Drosophila melanogaster: one gene and its partners. Changing the gene in region 2 together with the main gene of any one other region gives a genetic interaction. Each region holds a gene or a part of one and is shown on either strand. Other genes may lie near its edges.

Region 1 (4,514 bases), on a different chromosome or scaffold from region 2:
AGCTATTCCTAATGACGTAGGACCAAATACATTAGAATAAAAAGATGCGTGACGGCCATACATTGACCATACAAACGAGAAATTGTATATGTGTGCGTACTTGTGCTAGAAGACGATTTTCGGCCCGAAATAAATTTTCATTCAAGAAAATTTACATACATATTCTACATATTTGGAGTTTTTGGCAATTTTTTTGCAAAATTTCAACAGGGCACTGTGAGCAATACTTTTTAAAGCATTAACATTAATTTCATCAATATTTCAACTTATAAATAAAGTTGCTATCTAGAACTATAATTATTAGTTTTGTAATTTAAAACATAAATTTAACAAAATGAGAAAATACATATTTAAAAATATATTTTGTAAAAATAATACAAACATACATAGTTAAAAGTTAATATTTATAAAATAAATAAAAATATGCGACCTTTCTATTGTAAAATGTGCACAGATGCACTTGTCGGTTGTCACTGGATGCGTAAAAACAGCTGATGGCTGTAGAGTTCTCCGCCCTCTTGCTCCTAAACAAAAATTAAGAGCAGAATACTTTATATCCACCTTCTACTTCCTGAATTCTAGACATTTCTTACTGAGAGACAGGCGGCCCAAGAGATCTTAATCTTAATTGCTTGTACCTTTTGAAAGAATCTAGTATAACTTTTACTGGACGAATTCTAGACTATTAAAAATGTGATGATATATCAACACATTTATTAAAAGTGCGATCGTGACAGTTTTATGCGGCTTGTGAGCGCTAGAGTGGGCTTGGCAAAATGGGTTAACAAACTTGCGCTGCATCTTTGTCTCTAAAATCTGTATGCTTAATCTTAACCTTCTACCTTTAATAGTTCCTGAGATCTCGGCGTTCATACGGACAGAAGGACACAGCCAGATCGACTCGGCTATTGATGCTGATCATGAATATATACATATAGTGACGTATTCGGGTGGTCCAAACCGGCCACTTCAATTAAAACAGTATTGCACTTAATTGATTTTCCATAATGTATCCCAGCTGCGCAGCATCCGTTTCTAATAAAGAATTCTTTGGCAGCGGCACTCAGCCGTTCTTGTAAACATCCTAAAACCTGACATAAGCCGATTTGACTGCTCTCTTTGAACCTTCTCCTTATCTTAAGAACCCAAGAGCGAGGCTCTCCCGAGATACAAATATTGTTCAAATAATGAGGGTTCTCTCAATTCAATTTGCATTTGATTTTTACTCTTAAAAAAACTAAAACGTTAAAACTATTTCTCCGATCATTTTTTATTTCTTAGCGTTGTCCTTAGTCAACTGACGGGGCATTTATTCGACTCAAATAAAAAATATAACAACTAATTTTACTATATATATGTATATATTTTACTGTATATCGGAAACGCTTCCTTCTGTCTTTTACATATGTACATTTCAACGAATCTAGTATACCCTTTTACTCTACGGTTAACGGGTATAATAAGTTCTTTCTAAATGATTATGCTTATCATTTTAACAACAACATTTTAACCAAAAACGGTGTGATGACCAAACCATTTTCATATTCAGCATGAATTTACCGATTCAGACAAATCGTTCATACATACAAACAATATTATTACTTTACCATTAAACAAACCATTTCCAAGAAAGAATTTTTCATAGACCTAAAGCACATCGACTTTGTGGGTGGATATACATACATATGTACAATTTTTCGACTCAACTGTTTACACTGTAGTTTTACGAAAGAGAATTTCGATTTAAAAAATTTTTAGTTTTCGATGGTCGACCATTTGATTTATAAATAAGCAGTATTATCTTTAATTAGGCTGCTTTTAACTGCAAGTGCAGTTTATTCATACGATTACAAAGCATGACGATAGATGATTATGCTATTAGGTTTGATTAAACCATTTTTATGAAATATAAATTATTATATTATAAATATAAATTAATTATAAATTTACAAACTCTTATTCCATTCCAGAATCGATAGTTCTGGAATGATACTAGTGCTCAGCAACGCCAAAACAGTCAATAATAGATATTTGAAGTGTCAGCGGAATCGACGTCTGACAAAACAACTGCTTCACTTCATTAGAATTGTGTGATATATTCCACAGACCAGATCATTGGAAGAGAAGTCAATCGTGCGTGAGAGAAGCCAGAAGAGAAGCCACCCGCGACATTCCGAAGTAACCATTTCTGTAGGGTCAGACGTACATACAAACAACATTCATATAAATTGCTCGTGCTGTTCATTGGTTACCGCCTTTAGTCGCTACCTCGCTCGCACACGCGCTCAACACCTACCCTTACCCGTCAAAAATACCGACCTTCTTCTTGCCACGCCCGTAAAGATGGCTCCTAAGAAGCATAGTGGGTTTATGATGTTCGTAAACGAGTGGAGAAACCGGAACGCCGAGGGCCGACGCATGACGCTGGCGCAGGCTGTTTCCCACTGCGGCACCATATGGGAGGTAAGTTTTGGTCGATGCTGCGGATCTACCCTGTAATAAATGAAGCCTTTTCAGAAAATGAACACCCAGCAGCGTGGTCCGTACAACTCAGGCGGCAAGGACGCAAATGTGGCGCAACGCGCCAAAAGGGAAAGTTCCAACGGCCACGGCCAGGTGGACAAGGCCCAAAGGGAGGCCACCGAGAGCTTGATGGACATGAAACGTACCATCGAGCGCCTCGTGCTAAACGCCAAGATGTCCCATGGTAAGTCACACATTTCGAAGACATTTGGATTCGACTAACTCCAATCGCTGCCGCAGATCTGGAGAATGCCAAGTTTGTCTTCGTTGCCTTCAACTACTTCACTAAAGCCTTGACCACCGACGTCTATGTGCCCGCCGAGTTTGCGGCATGCGAATATTCGTTGAAGGAGGGAATCCGATCCATCTACAGCACCATGATTGACCCCGGTCAGATCATTTTTGGGCAAGGTAGCGATGCCCTGCTTCACTCTTCAACCACTCACGACCTGCCGCTGCCGCCCAACGCGCTGGGGGAGAAGAACATGACCAAGCTGTACCGCAACATTGTTGACTACTTATCCAAATGCCAGGGAAAAGGCAAGACCCTAGTAGTCTTTACACCCGCCGAAAATATTACCATGGTGAAGTCATGCTTCCGCTATTTGGAGTGCGATGATGACTTCAGGGACGGGGGCGAAAAAATCCAGGTGTTTGATATCCAGTACTTGCTATTCATATTGAAGAAGGAGGTCATGAATGTCGCTGATTTGAATGACGAGAAAATCAACAAATTCGCGACGGATGCTTTTTTTAAGAAAGACTTTTTCGAGTTTACCGCAGGGATTGCGTGTCAGGTAAGATTCTGTTCCCAATTCTGATAACCCCTAGTTGACTTCCTTCCTGATTACTTTTGCAGTACCACGAGGATAATGATCGAACCAAGTACTGTACCCAGAGTATGGTGACTAGATGGGCGTATACCTTCACTGATTTTATGTGCGGAGACCTGGCCATAACCGTCCAACCCGGAAAGCACATACCTGCCCAAACAAAACCCAACTACCTTATCATAAGCTCGTACGCCTCCTCACTCGACCACGAGTCCTCCTTCGACTCTTTTTATTCGCTTCCCGGATCTGGGGTCAAGAAGGAAAGCCAACCCGAAGCTTGTTCGCTTTCTAGCAGTCGACTTTCCGTCGCATCAAGCTCCTACAAGCCCATAGACCACACTTCCTTTGCCGCAAATTTAAACGAAGTTTCTGAATTCCCCAGCCTCGGCATGCGTAATTCTAGTAAGCATCACGGTATCGCCGCTAGTGCTCAGCGGGAATGGAACGCTAGGAACTTACCGACGCACTCGCGTTTAATTCGGAAGGTTTCAGACAACGACTTCTCCGTAAACGGCGCTGATGGGAAACTTAAAAAATAAGCCACTTTGGTCTATCAATTGGACTAAGAAACAATGATTCCTTATAGATAATTTTCTTATCGCATTAAACTGTACAAATACTATTACTTGTATTTAAAAATAAATTCGTTCAAACGGACAGGGCCAGCATCAAGTATTTATTTATTTTAGTTCTGCTAAATAAATATTTTTAAGACCTAATATGTGGGCAGTAATGAAAGAAAGACATGATATTTTTGATGGCGACAAATTCTAATTAGCTAAGTGGGGCCAAGCTCAAAATAATCTATGTTTATGGTATTCCATGGAAATGCAGTTGTGCCATTAGAAACTGCTCCTATTAAAACCCCTGTTAAATATTGTGCATAAAATTGTTCAACGGGTCATTATAATACAAAGTGCAAAGGCCAAAAAGAGTCGAGTTCATATTCTTACACTTGTAGCTTTTTAAGTGGCTCGACTTGGAGAGGAGTTTTTAGAGTTGCGAGATACAGATGCAATGCTTTGCGGATCTTGCTGAAGCACGAGACGAGTAAAGGCTAAGCTGAGGAGAAGTGCCTGGCCTAGAAGCTCGCGCTGGTAGCGCTCTTGTTGTGAGAATTCGAGGCGTAGGTCAGCGGGAAAGTCGATCTGTTTGTGC
Region 2 (4,328 bases):
GTTGGACCAACACGTTTGGCGCCAAAGAAATTTCGACTTATAACTAAGATTTAGAGGATTATCTAGGCTTGAAGTAATCCAACACATTTGGCCGTAATCATATAGTATAATATATACATTAAATGAATTTATACTAATTTTGAAACTATTTTCACCTTGCAGCTAGCAAAAGATCTTCTGCACCCTCTGCCCGCCGAGGAGAAGCGCAAGCACAAGCTGAAGCGCCTGGTCCAGCACCCCAACTCGTACTTCATGGACGTGAAGTGCCCCGGCTGCTACAGGATCACCACCGTCTTCAGCCACGCCCAAGGCGTCGTGGTCTGCGCTGGATGCGCTACCATTTTGTGCCAGCCGACTGGAGGACGCGCCAAGCTGACAGAAGGTATGCTCCAAATGCTCACTGTCCAATGTTCCTTCGCAATTAACCCAAACGATGTCTTTCTTTCAGGCTGCTCCTTCCGCAGGAAGCCACAGTAAAATGGGACTCGCGATGAACCACAAATTATTAATTTTTTAATAAAAACTCTAAAACGTAAAGAAACCACAGAACCCATACGAGAGAAAGCTTGTAATTCAATTGCTGCGGTCCTTTGGTTCATTGTGCTTTGTGAATTAAAGAATTAACGATGTTGTGGTCGGCTAAGTGAAAAAAAAAACAGTTCTTGTCGTATTTGTTTATAGAAAGTGGATAATTGCCAACAGGATAGATAGTGGAGCTCAATCGCTGGGGTTCCCCGATAAGAAACCGCCCATAATGGAAGCTCTTGTGTGTGCAAATACCCTTGTGCGGCAAAACTTCAGGAATTTTTCACTAGTTATGCTTAGATCTAACCATTGATTAACTTCACAACAATAAAGAATGTTTCATAGGCTCTAAATCGAGATTTTGTGAGGCTTCTAATGATTGGGCATTCAGCATTTTTTCAAGAATTTTGTAACCGACTCAAAAAATCTTTAGAATGGTTGGTTATTCGGATCGCATATACTTAGCTTGTTTGTCTTATTTTTATTTGGATGAGCGCCAAAATTTTGCTGCGTCAGTCTGGAAAAAATTGAATCAAATGTGTATAGTTTTATAGAAGTTGGGAAGCGGAATTTATTTATTTATTTAAATATTTATAATTAAAAAAATGAAAATAGTCACGTTGTTTAACTAGTCAGTATTCGAACCAACAAATGTAAAATGTATACTGGTTTGTGTCTAAGCTAAGCTTGTCATATTAACGGAGCTGCCAGATGTTAGGAAGTGGGGATGCCATACATTATTCTAAATTTGCGCGCAATTTTAGAAGCTTATCGTCGTCAGAATTACAAAAACAAATTGAATATGAAAATGGGTTATTGCTACTTCATTATTATTGTCACGATATATGATAATTTATACAAAATGTGATAAATCCCAAATTGTTAAATAATGCTTTGGCTTGCTTTATACAAAACCACTAGATAATTAAAATATAGGTGGCCTAAATTGTTGCATGTTGTTTTATAATTAATCAGCAATTTGATTTGGTTGTGATCGACCAAATCAGTGTGTATAATTGTAGTTAAAATGTAAAGTTCGTAATGGATTATTGAATCGCATTTCAAATTTCTTTAAATGCGCCCGGGTCAATGACCTTTTGAGGTGACCATAAATTGAAACTTATTTGTGCGACGGCAACCCTGTTCTGGGACTCGACATGATATCGATACGTTAACAACAAAGAGTCTGGACGCCATCATTCTTCCTCTTTCTCCTGAATTCGCAGACAGCGTGGCGTCAGGCATTTCAAACGGTAAAAAGAACCTGGCGATAAGGAAAGATTTAAAAGGCAAAAATCGAGTGATTTGTGTGATTTAACTTAAGAATAATGCTTAATGCACGTGACGTGTGTCCTGAGGGCAACGACGACCAGCAGTTGGACCACAATTTTAAGCAGATGGAGGAGCATTTGGCCTTAATGGTGGAAGGCAATGAAAACGAAGATCCGAGGAAAGCCACTTGTGAGTACGAGGATACGAACGAAGATGGTGCAACCTGCACATCGGGCGTTTTATCCGAAATCCAGGAGAACTTCGGTAGACTCCGGTTGTGTGACGTTACTGCACCACTCCTCGAATTCCACGGTTTGGATTGCTTGCAACAGATTCAAAAGCGCTCGCGCCATTTTGCATTCGACGGTTCTCCGGCCAAGAAGTCGCGATCCGGAGGCGTGTTGGTCACCGGGCCAAAGCAGAAGCAACTGCAGAAGGAAAATGTGTGGAACCGGAAGAGTAAAGGCTCTGCGTCCGCGGATAATATTGAGAAACTGCCCATAACTATTGAGAAACTGCATATGATTGGTCTGCACGGCGATTGGTGAGTCTTCTGGAGTATATCCCAAATATATCACATAATAAAAAGCTCCTTATCTAAACAATAGCTTAGAGCACAACGCCGTGCTGCGTTTGATGAATCTGTTCAGATCCCTGCATGATCACCTGACCGCCGATTTGGGCTTCTCGCGCCAAAACTCAATGCCCTCGGACTATCTGTTCGATATGCCGGTGAAGAGCACGATGCCTAAGAGCTTGAATGTGCGCTACCAACTGCAGGTGCTGTGCACCAAAGTAGAGCGCTTCCTTGTCCAGCAGCGCCGCACCTTGGAGGCGAATCGCCACTTCGATTTCGAGAAATACGACGAGTGTGACAAGTTGCTTAAGGGTTTCGCATCCTATTTGGACAACTTCAAACTGCTTTTAAAGCCCAAAATGCGCAATCGAAACGGAAACTCGGGGAGCAATGCGGACAAGTGTAAGCTGTAGATTTGCAAGCAACCATTCAGCTATTCCTGCAACGATTTTATTATTTACAGTCCATACTCAGCGCATGGAGAGATTGCTAATTGGTCTGCGCGATTGGATCAAGGCTGCGCATCTCAGTGTGCACGTATTTAACTGGGAAATGGATCTGGAGCACCGCTACTCCGGGGCCATGACCGAAAGCCACAAGTCGTTGAACGAGCGGGCCATCCTTTTGTCCGGTGCCGAGCTAAGGGCGGCCGAAGCGCGTGGAATCAGTGCGGAGGATCTGTTCATCGCCCAGAGATACAAACTGGGAGGTCCGATCTATTGCGTTCTGGAGCAGCATGAGTTCCTCTCCGCTCTGATCGCCAATCCAGAGACCTATTTCCCGCCCAGTGTTGTCGCCATTTGCGGGCCACAGAAGCTTGGCGCAGTGAGCATGGAGCAGCCGTCAGCGTCGGAGGAGGAGTTTGAGGAGACCGAGGAAGTGCCATCATCGCCACCTCGTCACACCGGACGTGTACCTCGCTTCAGAAGCTAAACTAATGCTGTGCACATCGATAAAAGAATGACAGCAAATATGCAATTTAAAAAAGCTACTCTTCTCATGGGAAGCAATAATTTCGTAAAGTAAACATATCTATAGTGTAAGATATATTTGTCCAATAGTGCGGACTCCATATTTGTATTCGTGAATAAGCTTATATAAGCTTTTTAAAAATATTTATCAAATCGATACAAACAAAATCAAAATGAAAACGATTTATTACCCCTGTTTTGAGATTGATAACAAATTTATATAAGTTTAACTGTGTTTACATTTATTTGGCAAAACTACAAATGTGTTTGCTTTTCACTTTTATAAATCTGTATTTTACTTAAACTTTAGAAATAAGAAATCCTTTAGTGCCTGAATTTATTTTGCAACTACGTTTTATTTGTATGAGGAACTTACCAGTTTTTCTTATTTGCTTTGCATTTGTATTTTGAAAGTCAAATAAATATTTACGATTTGTGTTTGGACTAATTAGGGTGTTTGTACTAAGGTCTTAGACTACAAAGAGCTGTTCGAGCGGCAGTTTGCCAAAGATCCTGTCCACCACCGACTTGGCTATCAGTCCGAAGGCCTCGCCAATGCCCGGTTTCAGTTCATTGAAGATGTCCTTCCAGTTCTCATTGATAAGCGCGTGCATGTTCTCGCTGAGATCTTTCTGGCCGTTGAACAGATTTTCCAGCTGGTAGGTCACATGGGATGGATCCAGCTCAACCTTTATGTTCATCACCTCGGCGTAGGTTTGATGATCGCCCTTGGAGACGCGCTTCAATTTGATCTGTGCACGTACCTTTGTTCTAGCTGCGAATTCCAGAAACACATTAAAAATTTTAGATTTCAAAGCTGTGGGAGGCAAATCTTACTGAGGCGTATGTCAGCAATGCCATTTCCGGTGATGGGCAGAATGAGTATTCTTCCGTCCACCGAGTAGGGTCCTCTGACTCCTATTTCTGGAACTTCCATGACCAGCTCGATGGAGCGGCTGAGATCCCTTGTGAATCCGCTAAAA
Region 3 (7,834 bases), on a different chromosome or scaffold from region 2:
TGTATATTTCCCGTACATACACTTTTCATATCAAAATGATCAGGCCTATTTAATCGTATAAGTGAGTGCAGTGACCAGAGTGAAACATTAATTGCTTGCAAATAAGTATGTCGTATGCAAATAAAATATTTTTCAAATTCAATTTGATGTCGCCACCCCTATAATTTCCCCCCTTTTCGGTTGCATTGGTGTCACGGTACCAGTATAATTCTCGTTTCAATCTTCCTTTCGAGAAACAGATGCAAGACTTTGGAAAAGGGACGGGCGAAAAGAGAGGTTTGTTGGTGTTATTTGTTCTGTTCGCGATTTTCGCATTCGTATTTATCGGCTACTTCGTGGGAAGAAGAAGCAAAGACGGACGTTGCGTTTCAAAAAGAGCGTTACAATATGAAGAATTCAATCGAAGAGATCGGTGAAAACCAATGGACGAAATACAAGCCTGCATAAACAGTTGCGGTGAAAATATTAGTATTCAAAATCCCAGTATCCCAGAATGAAAAAATTCAAAACTAAATGAGTTATATCTAACCTACAATTGTACCAATTCTATCAACGATTTTAAAAATACATTTTTCAGGTCTTTTAGTCCAACAATTCGGTCTTAAAAATTATATTTAAAGACCCTCATTTCCAATTACTAAAGATTCGATTGCGATAGTTCCTATTATTGTGACCGCGAATGTGCTCCTGTGTATCCTCAGACGGATGTCTTTAGTGGGAAATCACCTTGCGCCAGCTGCAACTGCAACTGCATCGCATGTACAGCCCTGCACCGATGCACTATATCTGCCATATAGTGCTTAGGGGTGGAATAGTGCAGCTGACATATGTATGTAGGAATCTACCTGCGACATAATGCCGCTCGGTGGTTCTTACCTGCTCCTTGAGGATCTCGGATAACTGCCTTCTGTTGCTGTCGTAATTCCTGCGTAGCCCAGTGATCCTCGTTTCGGACAGCTGCAAAAATCATGAAATCGTCTGCACCGCGAGGTAAACAGCAAGGTAAATCCACATACACACACACAAATGAGTAATGATCTCGCACAGGAAAAAATTCAATGATCGATTTGGATCCAAGAGATTGAAGCGTTATTTGAAGATTCGAGTTTGGGAGCATTTATTTAAATTCTAGGATTTACTAGAACTATGTTTGTACATCTGAAATGTCCATCTGTGGTCATATACTTAGGGATATAAGAGATCTTAATCTGGAGTATTAAGAAGACAAATTTCTTAATTTTAAATTTGTATGTATATTAGGATATTAAAATGTTTTATGTTTTATGTTTTTTTATAATAATAGTAGTTTGCAAAGCAACTACTCAAAAACTGCACATCATCATTGAATTTGGTTTAAAAATTTCGTAACTATGGGAAAACAAATAATTTCAACCAAACTTGTAAAATATTACCTTATCAGAGCAGGAGAAAACCTTAAGTATCCAAGCCAAGAAACCACAAAAGATATTTTCGAGTTATAGAGATGGTTATACGGGTGTTTCTGCCTTCGATATCCGTACCCGTACTCAATAAAACAAAATCGAAGTTCAAGCTGACTGTACTTTCATTAATTTGATCTTAAAACTGTGGATTTTATCAGTTTACTAACCCCCTCTAATTAACTTATCGCCACGATTTATTGGTGCGCAGATTACTACGTAAAATCGTAGAAGAAAAGTTTAAGGGTTGCTGTGGGTATAGTGTTCATACAGCTACGTATTTCGAATTCAGTTGGAATCGGAATTTCAGCGTTCAGCGCAATTTTTTCAAAAATAACGATGCTCTTGTTCTTTCTCTCTCTCCCAACCATTTGGATTTCAAAAAATAACGACGCTCTCTGGTCTCCCACTTCTCTTTCCATTCCGACCGCATTGAGCTAAATTCCTGCAACGGGTGTGAGCGAGGCAGAGAAGGATCGGTGCAGTGAGAGCGAGCAAGAGGGTGCGAAAGAGAGCCGTTGTATTTCGCCGTTCTCTTCGCTTCGTGCTTCTTCCGACCGCGTGGATGGTCACATTTGAAATTCAAACTGCGGAGAAGACGGTCGCGTTCGTTTCGTTTCGCGAGTTCAGTGAGCAGCGTCCGATTTGTTTTAAAATCGCCGCATTTCGTCAGTACCCGCATTGCAAATGGCCAAACTACCGAAGTAGTAGTAGCCCTGAGTTTAAACGAGAGTTTAAATCGAATTTAATCGGAGACTAAACGGCGCGTCGCTAAATGTCAAAACAATTAACAGCCAAGTACAGCCAGGCTAAAGCGGAGTAACAAAATTAGTAAGAAGAAGCATTAGCAGAGAATAAGACGAAGAAAACGTAGCGAGAGCAAGAACTGTGATAAAGTTAAGTGAAGTGGTAAACACAAGCAAGCATGGATAACAGTAGCGGTCAAAACAGCAGAACGGCTTCGTCAGCGTCCACAAGCAAAATAGTCAACTATTCGTCACCAGTCTCGCCAGGAGTCGCAGCCGCCACCTCCTCATCCTCATCATCCAGCAGCAGCGGCATGAGTAGCAGCCAGGAGGACACCGTACTGGGATTATTTACGCCCAAAAAGGAGTTCCCCAATGCCAAGATGCTGCAGACCATCAGGGAGAAGCTAATGACGCCCGGCGGAGCCTGTGACCTTCTGGCCCTGGGCATCGCAGCGGAACCCACAGACCAGCAGCCCGTCAAGCTCATCCAACAGCGTTATCTGATCAGCGCACAGCCTAGTCACATATCGGCCGCCGTGGCTGCCAAGACTCCCGCCTCGTATCGCCACTTGGTCGATCTAACCGCCTCCAATCTGCGCTGCGTGGACATCTTCACCGGGGAGCAGTTCCTCTGCCGTATTGTAAACGAACCGTTGCATAAGGTGCAACGAGCCTACTTTCAGCTGCAGCAGCACGACGAGGAGCTACGCCGGAGCACCATCTATGGCCATCCACTGATCCGACCCGTGCACGATATCATACCGCTTACCAAGGATCGCACCTACATCCTCATTGCGCCCGTGCCCCAGGAGAGGGACTCCACGGGTGGGGTGACCGGGGTGTACGAGAACCTGCACACCTACATCCGCCACGCGAAGCGACTGTGCGAGACGGAGGCGAGGGCCATATTCCACCAGATCTGTCAGACTGTTCAGGTGTGCCACCGCAACGGGATTATCCTCAGGGACCTCAAGCTCAAGCGGTTCTACTTCATCGACGAGGCCAGGTGAGTTGCGTGTCCAGGTGACACCTTCGAAAAACCCATATACACCAATATACGCCACATATGCCTGACTTATACCAACTCAATTGCATATGGCTGGCTAGTCGGTTTATTTTGCAATTCGATGGAAACTCGTTATGAGCGAGAGATCTTGTTTGTGGTCGTGTGTTGGTGGTGCCACAATTGTTGCTCTTGTTATTGGCCCATGTTGTTGTAGTTGCTGCTGCTGCTGCTGTTGTTGCTTTTGTTTTTGTTGCTGGCGCCGTCGTTGTGGGTAACATTGAACATTTAACAAGTGTTGCAATCGAATCACCAATAGGCCAACAACAACAATTATACTGACAAACCGAATGAACGCAAGGCGTACGTATGTACAGCACAGGGTATAATGGTAGTTTCAAACTAATTTTATAAGTAAAAATATATTCCTACTATGCGAAGCATTGCAAAAATGAATGGGAATAAGATCAAAAATGTTAAATAATTTCAAAGATAAGTTTTTGAAATACACCTATTATTAAACTATTAATTAACATGGTGTATTAGCTTTGTAGCTAAAGAATTATTATTTATGTAATATCATTGAATTGCCATTCAGTGAGCAAGCATATGCCTTATTTTGCAGACCCCGACTGTATCTCTGTGTACATACTCGTACACAAGGGCCCAATGTGCCACACTGATGGCCAAAATGTTGGCTCACTCGTTTTTTCATTACACATTTCGGAAGCTAGAAATTGCCACATTTCAAGAATTGTTCAACATAGCATTTGCAATATGGTTTTGGGGTGGGGATCTGTGGGCCACGTACTCGGCGTTCGCTTGATTTGTCGATTTCCCGTGTGTGAGTTTACAGTGGATGATGAAATATTGACCCCACCTTCATCGAAAATGTATTTTCGCATATGTTAATTAACACAACTGTATCGAAAACGCGCTGTCTCCCGTTCTTATTATCTTCGAAATTGTACTGACATCAGCATGGAACGACTTGAACATTTGGTCGATTTCGTATGACTCTGCAATTAGCGCAATATCTGCTGATTTTTTCGTCATTTCGTCGTTCTGTGCCAAGTGCAAAACGGCGGAAGGAAGAAACCAACCCATAGATCTCTATCTATACTATACTTCTCTCACCTTGGCGAGAAATAAACAACAAGTGTTCAATACGACTCAAATGCGCTGCGATTACTGGCGCTCACTTCCATTCCCATTTCCATTCGAATAATACATCGCTATATAGATAAGTGCTCGCTGGGTGTACATACATACTATATGGGCTATGGGCGTGGCCATATCCATATCTACATATGTCCAACGGGGCGGCCACACACACGCACAACCAAATAACGAGCCGAATTTTTAAGGTCACAGTGCGGTGAATGTCCCTGACTCTGATCTTCTGTATTTGAACGCATTTATGTACATGCATATATGCCAGTGCCTCCCATATACAAATGCGTATGCTTATGCATGTAAAAATCTCTGGTTCATACTTTTATTTTGTCTACTCTTTTGCCGTACGTAAATACTTCCAAGGTGTTTGAGCATTTATGCGGCGCCGGTTTTCCGTATTTCGTTTCGATTCCGATTTTATTTTAACCTCTGTCGCGGGTTAATGTGTGCCAAACGTATAGAGCGAGAGAGAGAGAGAGAGGGAAAGAAGAGATCCACAAGACGCTCTTCAAAGCTCGGTTATGTCGCGCATCGAGGTCAGCAGCTGTAACTATTCTCCTCATCACATCTCCACCTGCCTTCCGTGCACTCAAAAATATAAATATTGGTTCACATAAAACCTTGATCTTAAAAGTATAATTATATATGCTTGCCTTGATCTTAAATATAAGTTTATAATGTTTCTGTATCGAATGGGGTAACTAGACGATAGAGGACACAAAAATCAAATGAAACCCGAAAACAAATGTATAGAAACATGCTCTTAATTAAGAACCGTGTTCTTTGAATATATTATTTAAATGCGCTATCTCTTTTCCCTCTTATTGATTGCCCACCTGTTGCTATCAAGTTGAAGGTAATTTGTTTCTTTCAGTGTACACTGTGATTTGTGCCGAGGAGAGGCGCGTTTTCAAAGCTTGTTTTTGTTCAGGGTCAGCTCGAGGTTTTTTTGGCCTGCTTTGTGTTTGGCTCTTTGGATGTTTGGATACCAGACCGCGGCGACCGTGTGTTTGTATATCGCTCCGTTCGCTATCGGCGGAATACCCAATGTTGGTAGTGGTGCTCGGGTCCCAGCAGAAGCGCCGTTGCAGCAACAAGTTGCGATACGTCACTCCACCTCACCTTACTACTCACGCAGCTCACACAGCGGACTCTCTTTGGATCTATGCGCTGTGCTCGCTGGCGTTTTCGTTACTTTTTTGCTTTTTGCATTCGAATGTGGGCCAATGTCAATGGAGTGGAGTGGCCCAATGGAGGGGGAGTGGAGTGGAGTGCAGGGGCGGAGGCGGCGGCGGCGGCGGCACTCGCTCATGGGTGTCGGGGGTCGCAAGCTGCGCTTTCGTCACCAATCCAAGTCAACTCAGCTCAGCTCACAATGTGCTCTCTCGGCCAATTTGCCTTTTGACTTGTCAATACGCCAACGCCAAAGACAACTACAACTGAAACTGAAGCTCCGTGGCCGATCGATTCAAGTCTCTTCGATATTGCGCTAGCTAATGGCCCCACAAAATCGGGGGTTATGCAAGTCCCAGGGATTGCACATGATGTAGAGCTCGACGATGGGTCTGATGAACGGGTACAGTTGCGATCAGAATAGTGGCAGTGCCAACTCAAGTTGCAGTCATATCTACTCTTCTTTGGCAACAATAGTTCTCAACATATTAATAGAAACGGGTAAAAAAAAGACTGTTAGTTTTATTTCTAAGAAGCATAAACATATATTTTGTACCCTATTTTGGCGGATTATTTATTCGATTTTGTCATTTGCTAATTACAGAACGAAACTGCAGTATGAATCACTGGAAGGCTCAATGATCCTCGACGGCGAGGACGATACTCTGAGCGACAAGATCGGTTGCCCACTGTACACCGCTCCAGAACTGCTGTGCCCCCAGCAAACGTACAAGGGCAAACCGGCGGACATGTGGTCGCTGGGCGTGATCCTGTACACCATGTTGGTGGGTCAGTACCCGTTCTACGAGAAGGCCAACTGCAACCTCATCACCGTCATACGCCACGGGAATGTCCAGATACCCCTGACGCTGTCTAAGTCGGTGCGATGGCTGTTGCTTTCGCTGCTGCGGAAGGATTACACGGAACGAATGACCGCCAGCCACATCTTCCTTACCCCGTGGCTGCGAGAGCAGCGCCCCTTCCACATGTACCTGCCAGTCGACGTGGAGGTGGCCGAGGACTGGAGCGATGCGGAGGAGGACGAAGGCACTGCCGCCGATGCGATGGATGATGACGAGGAAGGACTCTGTCCCTTGGGTGACAAGCACGAGTACGAGGACATTGGCGTGGAGCCATTGGACTACACGCGCTCCACGCTCCAAATGGCTCAGAATGCCAATGGGCTGTCCACGGAACCCGAACCCGATACGGATGTGGACATGGGCTGATTGGAGCTCGTGGAGTCACCCACGGGTTGCATTCTGGGACACGCTGGCGCGTTGGCTGCATCCGGCTGAATGCCGACTGATTAGCCGCCGGGACTGGGCATATCGGATGATATGACACTGTGGACATCCTGGCCTTCCGGGTCGCGCCGACTCCGACTGCGTTCCACGTCGTCTTCCTGCAGGTGGTACTGCCAACAAAGACTTAAAGCTTAGACACACAAGAACTCACTGCCTTCCAATCGCGCTGCAGCCCCGATTCGATTCGTTCAAGAATCACGCCGCTCCGCAGCCTCCTCTCTGCAACCGATTCTTCCTAAAACCTACCTATGTACAATACATTTAACATTTTAATTTTTTTGCAAACTGTTGATCTTATCAAAGGACAGTCGCCCTGATTTGCTTTTGGGCTTTAAAACACATTAGTTTCCATGTTAAAAAATGCAACGAATGCAAATTGTTATTTATTATTTAATACTTCTGTATTACGCTTTGTGTACTCTTAAAATCTTGTAAGTGAAAATTGCAAAAAAGAACATAATACATTGAAATTTGATCTCACCAAGAATAATTCGAATTTGTTTCTTTAGGGCTCTGGGGTAAAAAACGCTGTTTTTATTTATTGACACAAGATTGTAAATATTTATAAATGTGTAATTAGTCAACCAGACTATGAGCTTAACATGAAGATTCTAGATTCTCAAGAAGCGGAAGGCTACAAAAGATGAAAACAATGAGTCAGGGGAAAATACGATTTTTTGGTTCTAGATGCGTCATATTGTGTACTAGTAAAATTCAACATTTGATTAAGATCAGATAATGTTTGGTCAAAAATATGAAAACAAAACTGTCCAATCTATTTTCTTCATGAAGGAGATTAATGAATAGTTCACGTCACAAAATCGAGAATTCTCTCGAGTGTCGAAAGTCAACAAATTAGTTATTGTTGTTGCTGAGATTCCCATTACCGAGCAGCAGATTCCCAACCTGATAATGCAACCCAGTGACTGGAAGTTATCAGGTGGGCGAACGTGACTTTGGCTACGGAAATATTTGCGACTTTGCTCC

What was found. Genes that interact genetically often act in the same process or in processes that back each other up.
Region 1: of bam (region 2) and mael, changing one suppresses a phenotype caused by changing the other (phenotypic suppression), as found in Drosophila melanogaster (one study listed by BioGRID).
Region 3: of bam (region 2) and trbl, changing one suppresses a phenotype caused by changing the other (phenotypic suppression), as found in Drosophila melanogaster (one study listed by BioGRID).

What each region holds. Positions count from the first base shown.
Region 1 is NT_037436.4:22,722,223-22,726,736, forward strand, and holds mael (maelstrom), read left to right. Parts: upstream 1-2,010; 5' UTR 2,011-2,343; coding exon 2,344-2,463; intron 2,464-2,508; coding exon 2,509-2,707; intron 2,708-2,763; coding exon 2,764-3,320; intron 3,321-3,382; coding exon 3,383-3,895; 3' UTR 3,896-4,012; downstream 4,013-4,514. Other genes in the region: CG14450 (uncharacterized protein), read right to left, coding at 4,322-4,514. UniProt on the Drosophila melanogaster protein: Involved both in the piRNA and miRNA metabolic processes. As a component of the meiotic nuage, plays a central role during oogenesis by repressing transposable elements and preventing their mobilization, which is essential for the germline integrity.
Region 2 is NT_033777.3:25,242,502-25,246,829, reverse strand, and holds bam (bag of marbles), read left to right. Parts: upstream 1-1,720; 5' UTR 1,721-1,853; coding exon 1,854-2,341; intron 2,342-2,405; coding exon 2,406-2,776; intron 2,777-2,837; coding exon 2,838-3,307; 3' UTR 3,308-3,791; downstream 3,792-4,328. Other genes in the region: RpS27 (ribosomal protein S27), read left to right, coding at 163-382, 449-477; CG11854 (uncharacterized protein), read right to left, coding at 3,816-4,120, 4,183-4,322. UniProt on the Drosophila melanogaster protein: Regulatory component of a deubiquitinase complex consisting of bam and otu. The complex deubiquitinates K63-linked polyubiquitinated proteins, antagonizing the ubiquitination activity of Traf6 and regulating the IMD immune signaling pathway.
Region 3 is NT_037436.4:20,395,786-20,403,619, reverse strand, and holds trbl (tribbles), read left to right. Parts: upstream 1-2,010; 5' UTR 2,011-2,364; coding exon 2,365-3,194; intron 3,195-6,144; coding exon 6,145-6,769; 3' UTR 6,770-7,332; downstream 7,333-7,834. UniProt on the Drosophila melanogaster protein: Adapter protein that negatively regulates different signaling pathways to coordinate cell differentiation, proliferation, migration and growth.